Linked DNA regions of Callithrix jacchus. The protein of the gene in region 3 interacts with the protein of the main gene of each other region in a pairwise test. Links are inferred from orthologs where the notes say so. Each region holds a gene or a part of one and is shown on either strand. Other genes may lie near its edges.

The links.
Region 1: the proteins of COPG1 (region 3) and COPZ1 interact in a two-hybrid assay, tested with the Homo sapiens proteins (2 studies listed by BioGRID). The link is inferred for Callithrix jacchus from reciprocal best matches to the Homo sapiens genes COPG1 and COPZ1.
Region 2: the proteins of COPG1 (region 3) and COPZ2 interact in a two-hybrid assay, tested with the Homo sapiens proteins (2 studies listed by BioGRID). The link is inferred for Callithrix jacchus from reciprocal best matches to the Homo sapiens genes COPG1 and COPZ2.

The regions. Positions count from the first base shown.
Region 1 is NC_133510.1:65,223,576-65,228,033, reverse strand, and holds the start of COPZ1 (coatomer subunit zeta-1), read left to right. Parts: upstream 1-1,488; 5' UTR 1,489-1,521; coding exon 1,522-1,539; intron 1,540-4,458. UniProt on the Homo sapiens protein: The coatomer is a cytosolic protein complex that binds to dilysine motifs and reversibly associates with Golgi non-clathrin-coated vesicles, which further mediate biosynthetic protein transport from the ER, via the Golgi up to the trans Golgi network.
Region 2 is NC_133506.1:118,251,386-118,255,600, forward strand, and holds the start of COPZ2 (coatomer subunit zeta-2), read left to right. Parts: upstream 1-1,341; 5' UTR 1,342-1,361; coding exon 1,362-1,472; intron 1,473-1,602; exon of another isoform or gene 1,603-1,692; intron 1,693-2,165; coding exon 2,166-2,240; intron 2,241-4,215. UniProt on the Homo sapiens protein: The coatomer is a cytosolic protein complex that binds to dilysine motifs and reversibly associates with Golgi non-clathrin-coated vesicles, which further mediate biosynthetic protein transport from the ER, via the Golgi up to the trans Golgi network.
Region 3 is NC_133516.1:72,865,611-72,869,320, reverse strand, and holds part of COPG1 (coatomer subunit gamma-1), read left to right. Parts: intron 1-301; coding exon 302-459; intron 460-558; coding exon 559-692; intron 693-2,724; coding exon 2,725-2,792; intron 2,793-2,993; coding exon 2,994-3,182; intron 3,183-3,710. UniProt on the Homo sapiens protein: The coatomer is a cytosolic protein complex that binds to dilysine motifs and reversibly associates with Golgi non-clathrin-coated vesicles, which further mediate biosynthetic protein transport from the ER, via the Golgi up to the trans Golgi network.

The DNA.
Region 1 (4,458 bases), on a different chromosome or scaffold from region 3:
CTGCACCTGGCCACAAGTGCTTGTTTCTACTTGAAAATCACAGACCCAGCCGGGCGTGGTGGCTCACGCCTGTAATCCAAGCGCTTTGGAGGCCAAGGCGGGCGGATCACCTGAGGTCGGGAGTTCAAGACCAGCCTGACCAATGTGATGAAACCCCCATCTTTATTAAAAAAAAAAGAAAAAAAAAAAAAAGGAAAGAAAATCGCAGAGCCTATTCCTATACTCTCCCTTATTCTTTTTTTTTTTGAGACCGAGTCTTGCCCTGTCTCCAGGCTGGAGGGCAGTGCTTTGATCTCGGCTCACTGTAACTTCCGCCTCCTGGTTCAAGCGATTCCCTTGCCTCAGCCTCCGGAGTAGCTAGGACTACAGGAGCACGCCACCACGCCCAGCTAATTTTAATTTAATTTAATTTTTTTTTTTTTTTTTTTTTTTTTTTTGAGACGGAGTTTCGCTCTTGTTACACAGGCTGAAGTGCAATGGCGATCTCGGCTCACCGCAACCTCCGCCTCCTGGGTTCAGGCAATTCTCTTGCCTCAGCCTCCTGAGTAGCTGGGATTACAGGCATGTGCCACCATGCCCAGCTAATTTTTTGTATTTTTAGTAGAGACGGGGTTTCACCATGTTGACCAGGATGGTCTCGGTCTCTTGACCTCGTGATCCACCCGCCTCGGCCTCCTAAAGTGCTGGGATTACAGGCTTGAGCCACCGTGCATGGCCTTTTTTTTTTAAGACGGAGTCTTGCCCCACCTACCCTCCCTTATTCTAATCCCGTTTCCCCTTTGCCCCCAAACCCCATCTCCAAAGGTGTAACATCTGATTTCACTCTGGGCCAAAGTTGGCTTTTACAAACTCCGACTTCTTATGTTCCTCAGGCCCAGCAAAGCCTGGAATTCCACCTTAGGGAGCTTATCATTGCGCCTATCAACTCCTGACAGCCTTGGTTTATGTAGATAACATGTTGGGCCTTTTTTGGCTATATTCTATGGTTGTGCAGACTCTGTGAGGATGCTGAAGTGACCTGAGCGAGCCTGAGGGAAAGGCTAGCCACACAGATCATGCACCTAATGGGGGCGCTGAAAATAGGGATTAGGGCAAGATTCCAGTTAGGAAGCGCCAGTGTTAAAGGCTAAGGAGATACAGCGCCCCCTAAAGAGAGTGCGATTAAAAGTCGCTAAATCAGGCCGACAATATCACGTGTCCTCGGCCTTACCAATTGAAAATTAACAATCGCTTCCTCTGTTCCCCATGGAAACAACCCCGCCCCACTGACCCTCCCTCCCCAATCAGTCGTGAGGTTTTGCCATTTTATTGAGTATTGAGGCTGTCAATCAAAAATTTGCGCCTTCTGGTTGGACAATTTGCTTCCGCTAAGCAAACTATTACGTAATTGGTCAATAGAGAGATGCCTGGCTTAGCTTTACCCAATGATCCTTGTTCTAGGCGGGGCCTAATGGGGACGTATGGCCAATCAGCGGCGGCGTTGCTTTTGTGGCTCCACGTCGGCACCAGCTGCGGGGCAAGATGGAGGCGCTGATTTTGGTAGGAGCTGGAGGGGCAGCAGAGATGCTGTGGTGTCCACAGGGACCGGGAGTCAGGGTTCATCCCGAGTGGGAGACGGGGAAGGAGAGTTCCGGGTAATTCTTGGGGACTGAAAGTTCTGCTGGCCCCTGAAATAAGTGTGTGGCCTACTATAGGAGCTAAAGCCTTAGTTTAGAGTAGGAAGCTTTGCCGGGGAGAGGGTATAGAGTCGGTGGAAAGTTAAGGGCAGCACATGGACTCCTTAGGATGCATAGGCTATAAGCGTACTAGATTAGGACCCTTCAGGTTGCCCCTTATTTTTTAGCATTGTGGATGATATCCTGATTTGAATTTACCCAAACCACCAAACTCGCACCGTGTTGTAAGAAAAGAATACAAATGTTTTGTCATTACAGGCTCCTCCTGATGGTTTTCCAAGTTTGACTGTGCATACTCTCCATTGCTGATTCCCTGCCACATTCCTTCAGGAAACTTCTTTTCGGTTTCCTGGTAATCCTTACTATATAGGTTTGTCATGATAAAGAATCAGTATTCCATCGAAGCTCTGGGATACCTGATAAAGTTAGTATGGATTACTATGGATTGTGGAATATTTATTCTAGACTCCTTATTCTGTTCTCCTTTTCTCTCCCCATTTAGACCTTAGGAATTCCTTTTTTTTTTTTTTGAGACCGAGTCTTGCTCTGTCTCCCAGGCTTGAAGGCAGTGGCGCTATCTCAGCTCACTGAAGCCTCCACTTCCTGGTTTCAAGCAGTTCTGCCTCAGCTTCCCAAGTAGCTGGGTCTAGAGGCGCATGCCTCCACGCCCAGCTAATTTTTTTGTGTTTTAGTAGAGACGGGGTTTCACCTTGTTGCCAAGGCTGGTCTCGAACTCATGAGCTCAGGCAATCTGCCTCCGCCTCCAGAGTGCTAGGATTCCAGGCGTGAGCCACTGCAAGGCTGGAGTGCAGTGGTGCAGTCTCAGCTCACTGCAATCTCTGCATCCTGGGTTCAGGCAATTCCCTTGCCTCAGCCTCCCGAGTAGATGGGACTACAGGCAGGTACCACCACACCTGGATAATTTTTTGTTTTTTAGTAGAGACGGGGTTTCACCATGTTGGCCAGGATGGTCTCAATCTTCTGATGTCATAATTTGCCCGCCTCAGCCTCCCAAAGTGCTGGGATTACAGGCGTGAGCCACCACGCCCGGCCAGCAAGTATTTTTAATCAAGTACTAGGTTGAGGGCGATGGCTCATGCCTGTAATCCCAGCACTATGAGAGGCTGAGGCAGGAGAATCGTTTGAGCCCAGGAGTTTGAGGCTGCAGTGAACTATGGTTGTGCCACTGCACTCCAGCCTGGCATGACAGAGCCAGACCCTGTCTCTAAAAAAATAAAAATAAAAAACCTCCCCCCAAACCCAATTAACAGACTAGGATAGATTCTAGGGAATTGGTTTCTTTAGAAGCTTTTTAGATCATGAGGAAGATAATACTTGGGGAGCCCTTTTAACAATGGGTCTATGTGTAGTGGGTATAATATGTGAACGTCTGTTGGGCCAGGCACGGTGTAATTCCACGCTTTTAATTCCAGGACTTTGGGAGGCCTAGGTGGGCAGATCATGAGGTCAAGAGATCGAGACCATCCTGGTCAACATGGTGAAACCCCGTCTTTACTAAAAGTACAAAAATTAGCTGGCCATGGTGGCGGGTGCCTGTAATCCCACCTACTGGAGAGGCTGAGGCAGGAGAATCACTTGAACGCGGGAGGTGGAGGTTGCAGTGAGCCGAGATCTTGCCACTGCACTCCAGCCTGGCAACAGCCAGACTGCGTCTCAAAAAAGAAAGTCTCTCTGTCACATTTCTCTTCCCTTAGTTCTTTGTCTCTGCTTCCTCAGTGAAGTCTGTTTCAGGCTGCCTCTTTCTTATTCTTCTACTTTAATCTATGCCTAATATGCTGCATTCACAGATCCGGTTAACTTGGTCAGGTAACCCTGGACTTTGCTTTTAAAACCACACTGATTCTTTGTTATGGGAAACCAGTGTAATGAGGTTAGGGGCAATCTGTTCAAAGCATATTCTTCATTCACAGATTCCTGCTAACTTGGTCAGGTAACCCTGGACTTTGCTTTTGAAACTACACTGAATTCTTTTTCATAGGAAACTCTACATAATGAGGTTAGGGGCAATCTGTTCAAAGCATATTCTTCTGTCCTTACCTCCTCTACAAGTACATACATAGCTGCAGGATGTTGAGAAAAAGGGAAGGGTAAGCTACAGGGGGTCAAGAAGAACTGTTGATCAAAGTTTGCATTGACTGGAATTTTAAATAACCGTTAAGTTCCTTTCATTTAGGTACTTTACAGTGGGTTCCATTTCTTTCTTGAATTAAGTAATCCAGCTCTAGTTTTCAAGCAGATTTGTCTAATCTCTCTCGGGTCTCCTTAGTCTCTAAGGAAAGAGACCTTTTCATCTCCTTTAGTTCCCAGTGCTTAATAATAGTGATCTCAGCCTGCATCTTTGGACTTGGCTTCTTCTTTCTTGCTGTTTCTGCTTGTTCTCCCTTTTTGAGTTGTGAATGGAGAGGATCTCTGTAGGTCCCCACTCTCCATTAATAACCTATGGAATCTTAAAGATAAGGATTTACCCTTCCTTTTTCACTTTTTTCCTCCTTTCCTTTTTACTTTTTTTCTTTAAAGCTGAATTACTCGGCCAGGCTCAGTGGCTTAGGTCTGTAATCCCAGCACTTGGGCGGGCAGATCACCTGAGGTTAGGAGTTCAAGGCCAGCCTGACCAACATGGTGAAACACCGTCTCTACTAAAAATACAAAATACAAAATTAGCTGGGCCTGGTGGGACGCCCCTGTAATCCCAGCTCCACAGGAGGTTGAAGCAAGAGAATCACTTGAACCTGAGAGGTGGAGGTTGCAGTGAGCTGAGATT
Region 2 (4,215 bases), on a different chromosome or scaffold from region 3:
GGTTGCATGCACCATTGGTCCCAGCTACTCGAGACACTGAGATGGGAGGACTGCCTGAGCCCAGGAGGTTGAGGCTGCAATAAGCCCAGATCGAGCCACTACACTCCAGCCTGGGCAAGAGAGAGAGACACTGTCTCAAACAAAAAAATTAGTAAAAATAATATTTAGACATTGAGAAAGTGCAATGAAGGAAAGTGCAAAGATATCTCTATATCTCTGAGATAGAGAATGTGACAGGAGAGACCTATCACGTCAGATATGGTGGCTGTCAGGAGGACCTTTTGGTAATGACATTTCAGCGGAGGCTTGAAGTCGAGAAGGCTTGATGCATTCAGTGAGGAAAGCCCCATTCTGTAACCATCTACGGTGAGTAACTGTGGTCCACAACATAAGAGGGCTTGAAGAGAATAGGGAAGAAATTTTGAGTAAAAAACCTGGGTTCTATCCCCAGTCAACTAGCTGTACAGTCTTGAAAAGGTCACACAACCTCTGAGTCTCTCTTTCCTTAAAATGGGGGTCCATCATGCCTACCTCACAGGTGTGGGCTATATTAGATAATATATGTGAAAGTGTCAAATGTAAAATGCATGCACAGTCTTGTTACCTGTAAATGCATACATAACAGTAACATATATATCACCCGGGTGTGAATTTCCCTCTGGCCAGTATACCCTGAAATGAGATCTTGTCTTTGGTACACTTAGACCAAAGAAACCAAAACATGCTGCAAAACCCGATGTCATTGGTGGAGCATTTGTGCTGTTGGGCGTCTGGCTTGCTTCTGACGGTGCCACATCTGTGTCTTAGGAGAGCCTGGGGTGGTGTCTCCAGGACTTTGGTTCCCTTCTGCAAGTAGTGAGAGACGAATGGGAAAGCTTCTTCTCCACAGAGGGGTGTTCCCAGAACTATCCTCATCTGCTCTCGCTGACAGACCCTGTCCCTGAGATCCAAAGGGTGACCTATTTGTTCCCATGGTACCTACCAGGGCTCAACAGACAAAAGTGGGCTTTGCTTGTGTTTGCTGCTGAACCCAGGACAGCCTATAGACACCGGTGCACACCAAAGCCACAGACCGGAGTGCAGGCAGGAAGCGGGACGACGGCTGGTCTTGGGGTACTCTCAGGATGCAGAGTTCAGGGCTGTAACGGAAGGAGCCAAGGAAGAGAGAGGGAGAGGAGAGGTGGAGGAAGGGGAGGGTGGGGGTGAGGGCGGGAGGGGAGAGCAAGGAGAACGAGCCTGAGGACTGGGCCCCGAGGCAAGGAAGGCCACGCGTGAGAAGGGGCCGTAGGGCGGGCGTGGAGGCGGGGCGGCGGCAGTGGGCAGGCGGCGGGCGGCGCTGTCAGTGCGAGGCGGCGAGTGGAATGCAGCGGCCCGAGGCCTGGCCACGTCCGCACCTGGGGGAGGGGGCCGCGGCGGCCCAGGCCGGGGACCCAGCGCCGCCTGCTCAAGCTGGGGAGCCCTCGGGGCTTCGGGTATGGAGCGGGCGGGCGCGGGGGTCCCGGGCGGCGGGAGCTGGGCCGGGACGGAGCAGGGTCGGGGAGCAGCCAACTCAGAACTCGCGCCCAGTGGCTGGGAACTTTGTGTCACCCCTTGACCGGCCCCAGACCCGGGGAGAAAAAGTTCGTCCCGGCGGTGAGGAGGCCTGTCCTGACGGGGCTGAAGTTTTGGGTCCATTTGGAGCGGGGGTGGCGGGTGAGTTGCGATTCCGCGGGGAGGGTAAGGAGTGGTCTGTCTGTCCCAGACTCGGCTCCCATCGCCGGTGGGTGATGGGCATGCTTCTGGAGCCCACACGGGCCAGGGCCTGGGAGCACGCTGAGAGCGCAGGTCCAGCCCGGCCAGGGATCAGCTGGAAGGAGGAGGCTCGGCCCGCTGTCCCCCCCGGCCCAGGTTCTGTGATACACTCCGACTCGGGCTCTGGAGTAGTCAGTGCATGACAGAACTTGGGCCCGGAAGGACCTTCTGCACCCAACGGGCACAGCCCCCACTAGGGCCTGCAGTGGAACATCTGTCTGGGAGTGGGCACCTGCGTTGGCCCATGTGGCACAGGGTTGGGTAGAACGAGCTGTGGACCTTGAGGGCTGGGGTTGCTGGTGCCTGAGGATGTATCCTAGGCCAGCCCATGGATCGATCCATCAGGAGCCAAACAGAACTCTCCCTGATGTCAGTTGCAGGAACCTTCCCTCTACACCATCAAGGCTGTTTTCATCCTAGATAATGATGGGCGCCGGCTGCTGGCCAAGGTAACATCTGACCCCACCCGTGAGGGGCACAGTTCCCACCCAGCTGACACTCCTGTCTTAGGAGAAAACTCCACGGTGATCTCTGACTCAGGGCAGCTCAGCTTAGACCCCTCCAGAGGTCCTTCTCATCCTCCTGCCTTGTCAAGGTGCTGCTACCTGAAGTGAGGGGTCTCCTCTGTTTCTACTCATGCTCCCTGAAGTGTTGTTTTCTCATCATTCTGCTACTGGCCAGTTGGACCTGGGCCTGGGAAAGTTCTGCCTAATGGGTTAGTGGAGTGTTGAGCCTCTGACTCAGGAGTCTTAGTCCCTAAACCCCCAAACAAACTCTTTTGTTCTTTGGGGTTTGTCTCTAAACCTCCTCAAAACCTCCACTTTTGTTCTACAGCTTGGTAAACACTAAGGATTTAGTCTAAGGAGTCTAAGGATTTAGAACCAGATGGGATTTTAGAGACTGTATAATCCAACTCTTTTAATTTCACAGATGAAGAAAATGAGGTGTAGAGAAGCTAAGTGAGTTGCCTGAGGTCACAAGAATTAATATCCTAACAGATCCAAACTCAGGTTTTACTTATTACTTAATTTTTTCACTTCTCCCATTTTACAGGTTTCACGGGCAAACTCAGGTTTCTTGACATGAAGCTCAAGGTGGTTTTCACTGTACCTCCCATTCAATTATCTGGCATCTATCCTAGCAAACATGGCCTGAGCAAACCAAACTAAAATAATCCAAAAATAAATTTTTACTGTTTACACAATTAATTATTGTGGAGCTGTAGCATCTGCATTAGCTATGACGTGCATTTAAGGCCAGCTTCAGTGGCTGATCCTCCCAGCACTTTGGGAGACTCAGGCAGGTGGATCGCTTGAGCCCGGGAGTGCCAGACCAGCCTGGGCAACATGGTAAAACCCCATCTCTACAAAAAAAAAAAAAAAAATTAGCCAGGTGTGGTGGTATGTGCCTGTAGTTCCAGCAACTTGGGAGGCTGAAGTGGGAGGATCACCTGAGCCTGAGAGGTTGAGGCTGCAGTGAGCCATGATCGAGCTACTGGACTCCAGTCTGGGTGACAGAGTGAGACCTCATTTCAAAAAATAGATTTTCTGTTTGTTTGTTTGGAGCTGAAACTTATTTGTTTTTATGATATTCAAATAAGCTTTTTCACCACAGCAGCGGCCAGCAGGGAGACTGCTAATCTGCTTGCAGATTGAGTACTAAGTGGCAAAATCCACATCCAGAAAACTGAAAACTGAGCTGACCATACCTTGCCCTAGCAGATGGTCAGAGGTGGATCAGCAAGGCCAAAGGTTCTCGCTCCCTACAGATTAAGAAACTGAGTCAGAGAGAGAGGCTCACCATTCCCAAATAAAAAATGTTAATTTAGTTATGGGATATGTGCCAGGAATTATTTCTTAGATATTTAATCTTCACTATCACCCTGTCTGCAGTCAGACCATCCTTAGTGCTGAAATCCAGCTTTGGCCTCACAACTGTGAGATGTTGGGGAAGTTACCTGACTTCTTTTTATTTTTTAGAGACAGAGTCTCACTCTGTCGCCAGGCTGGAGTGCAGCGGTACAATCTTGGCTCACTGCGACCTCTGCCTTCTGGGTTCAAGCGATTCTCCTGCCTCAGCCTCCCAAGTAGCTGGGACCACAGGTGTGCACCACCACAGCCAGCTAATTTTTGTATTTTTAGTAGAGACGAGGTTTCACCATGTTGGCCAGGATGGTCTCAATCTCTTGACCTTGAGATCCACTCACCTTGGCCTCCCAAAGTGCTGGGTTTAACAGGCGTGAGCCACCGCACCTGGCCATTACCTGGCTTCTTGATGTCCCACTTTCCCCATCTGTGTAATGGGGAAAATAAAGTAGCTGTTGTTATTATTGTTTAAAAAAAGACTCCTGCTTTTGCTATAGACTCAGGGTGCTGTAGAATTAGTGTGCCCTAGAGATCACACCAGTCCTTAGCATGCCAAACA
Region 3 (3,710 bases):
TTGCTTTCATCTTTGTACTGTTTGTTGTCCCTTTCTGTACTTGTATTTATGCTACTTGTTAGGGCTCTTGCCGAAGTGGGGGTGGGGGCAAGAACCACAGATACACTCCTGTGGTTTGTGAAGCATTGTATGGAGGGTTGTATACTTAGAGTACCTGGGCAGTTGTCACAGCCACTCTGTGTACTGGCTGCTACTGTGCTCATTTTAGAATTGAGAAGGCTAAAGGGCCTGCCCAGGGCCACACGGCCAGTATACCCAAAAGTCATACATCTGTACTCTGTTACTGTCCCCTGTCCTATAGTACCATGCACTAGGGCTCCTGTACCACGTGCGTAAGAATGACCGCTTGGCTGTCAATAAGATGATCAGCAAGGTTACCCGTCATGGCCTTAAGTCTCCCTTTGCCTACTGCATGATGATCCGGGTGGCCAGCAAGCAGCTGGAAGAGGAGGACGGCAGGTAATGGCTCTCGTCTCTCACCAGCTAGATGATGCCTCACTCACCCTACCATGCTGGGCCACCCCCAACCTTTACTTGTCACTCTGTGTTCTTTTGTAGCCGTGACAGCCCACTGTTTGATTTCATCGAGAGCTGCTTGCGCAACAAGCATGAGATGGTGGTGTATGAAGCCGCCTCGGCCATCGTCAATCTGCCAGGCTGCAGTGCCAAAGAGCTGGCCCCAGCTGTGTCAGGTCACCAGGCATTCCTTCCCCCAGCCTCACATGTTTATGCTTGCCAGGAACTAGGCCTGGGTCAGGGGCTAGGGGAAAGAAAGAAAATGCTCTCAAGCCACAGACTGGTGTTAAGGAGTCCATACCTAGGAAGCACCTGCCCAGACACTATGCTGGAGCCCCATATGTGTCACATTTTGGGGGTAGGCTGTTGGACCACTGAAGAGGGAGGCTGAGGTAAGGCTTGGGTCCACTCGAGCCTGTCAGGTTGGCTGGCCACAGGAGGAGGCCTGGTGGAGGAACTCGGGATCTATGAAACTGGTGCCTGTGAACTGGAGCTGAGCTTTTCCAGGTGAAGGAGAGAACAGTATAGAGGGTCTTTCTGAGCCTCTGGCTACAGCAGTGGAGCAGGGCAGCCTGTGTTAGAGCCTTGGCTCTGCCCCTTAGCAACTGGGCGAGCCTGGCAAGGCCACCCATCCTCTCCATGTTTCCCTTTCTTTTCTCAGATGTGGATGATAGGTCATGCCCATTACATAGGGGTTTATAGACAGAAAATGTGGGATCTAGACAAATTGCTCAGAAGGCAACATGTTTGTTGTTTGCTGTTTTGTTTTTTTTTTTTTTTTGAGATGGAGTCTCGCTCTGTTGCCTAGGCTGGAGTGCAGTGGCATGATCTTGGTTCACTTCAACTTCTGCCTCTTGGGTTCAAGTGATTCTCCTGCCTCAGCTTCCCAAGTAGCTGGGATTACGGGTGCCCGACACCATGCCCAGCTAAATTTTGTATTTTTAGTAGAGATGGGGTTTCACCATATTGGCCAGACTGGTCTCGAACCCATGACCTTGTGATCCACCTGCCTCAGCCTCTCAAAGTGCTGACTTCAGGTGATCCGCCCGCCTCGGCCTCCCAAAGTGCTGGGATTACAGGCGTGAGCCACTGCCCGGCCTTCATTCATTCTTAGTATATCCCCCATATTTCCAGAATAATGAAAGATGTAAATAAAGTAGGGTCTTCAAAATAAGCATTAAGAGGCCAGGTGCAGTGGTTCACACCTATAATCCCAGCACTTTGGGAGGCTGAGGTGGGTGGATCATGAGGTCAAGAGATTGAGACCATCCTGGTCAACATGGCGAAACCCTGTCTCTACTAAAAATACAAAAATTAGCTGGGCATGGTGGCATGCACACTGGTAGTCCCAGCTACTCAGGAGGCTGCGGCAGGAGAATTGCTTGAACCCATGAGGCGGAGGTTGTGGTGAGCCAAGATCACGCCATTGCACTCCAGCCTGGGTAACAAGTGAAACTCTGTCTCCAAAAAAAAAAAAAAAAAAAAAAAAAAAGCATTAAGAAAAAAAATTTTTTTAAGTGTTAGGGAATAAAAGCAAAGTTATGAAGAAAGGAACGTAGATATTCCAGAAAACACATCTTTACTCCTATGATTGAGTGCCAAATTTAGCTCTGAGCTTCCTGGCAGCCAGGGCAAGGGAGATATGGTACCCGAATGGCCCTCATGTAGTAAAAGGAAATCAACCATTTATTTAAGAGAGGACTTTGTTCTGCAATACTCAGTGCTGAGGGGGGACGTTCTGTTGGCTCCAGAAGACACAATAGGAGAGAGGAGTGGAATCTTCACAGAGGTTAAGGGCTCAGGCTGCAGTTGCCAGCAGTCTTGGAATTTAATTCTGGTTCTGCCACTTATGGGCTGCCAACCTAAATTCTATTTGCTTTCCCCTTTGTGCCTTAGTCTCCTTATCTGTAAAGTGGGGCTGCAAGCTATAGAAGTAAGGCATGTCCACCATGTAGCACAGCACCTGGCACATATCAGATGCCTAGTGAATAACAGCCCTCACGGGAACCCCTTGGTGCTCACAGACATTATGAATTCTGTCCATGGCTTAGGTGCCCAGGTTAAGGAGAGCTCTCTGTCTTGGATTGGGGTTGTGGTATCAGCAAGGAAATGAGCTGAGCAGAGGGCTTGAGTCAGAACAGCTGCCCCCAATTTTCCCAGCTGCCCAGAGTGAAGGCAACCTGACGTGTGGCATCCATCTCTCTACAGTGCTCCAGCTTTTCTGCAGCTCACCCAAGGCTGCTCTCCGTTATGCTGCTGTTCGCACCCTTAATAAGGTAAGAGTCCAGGTGCAGGGTTGGAGGAAGCTGTCTAATCCAACTGGAGGTATGTCCTTGCCTCTGACCTGGCTGGGAAAGATGTAGCTCTGGTCACGGTTACTTTCTTCTGGATGGTGAGATGATCTGACTGGACAAAACCATCAGATGAAGTGACAGCACTGAGATCCTGCCCTCTCTGTCACTGTCCTCCCAAAACAGGTTGCCATGAAGCATCCGTCAGCTGTGACAGCTTGCAATCTGGATCTGGAAAACCTGGTCACAGATTCAAACCGCAGCATTGCCACGTTGGCCATCACTACTCTCCTTAAGACAGGCAGCGAGAGCAGCATTGACCGCCTCATGAAACAGATCTCCTCCTTCATGTCAGAGATCTCGGATGAATTCAAGGTACCCGCTACCCCTGGGATACCCATGGACCCCAGAGTAAGGAGGGAGCTCTGTCCCTGCTCTCTGTGGCCACAGCCCTCCTTTCAGGACTTACCTGAGGGGTTGGTCAGCCTTGAGGACTCAGAGGAGGCCAGCACATTGCTCTGCAGAGGTTTGGTCTTCAGAGAAATGTGTGCAGTCTTGCCTCCAGGCCTTCATCTATATTGTCCCCTGGTACTGAAAGAACAGTAGTTTCCAGGCCAGTTAAGGATTCATTGATTTGTTGTCCAAGTATTTCTTGAGCACTTGCTGTCTGCTATGTAGAGTGATCAGAGGGGAACATAGCAGTGGACAAGGCAGGTGCCTGCCCTCCTGGAGTGACCTTTCTAGGGATGGGAGAGAAACAGTAAACAGGTAAAGAAAGGAGTAGACTGGATCATCTCAGACATGAGTACTGCAGTCAAGAGTATAGAACTACAGCAGGGGTGATCCCAGGAGAAGCATGGTCTGTCTGGGAAGGCCGTTCTGGAGGGTGATGTTTAAGCTCCA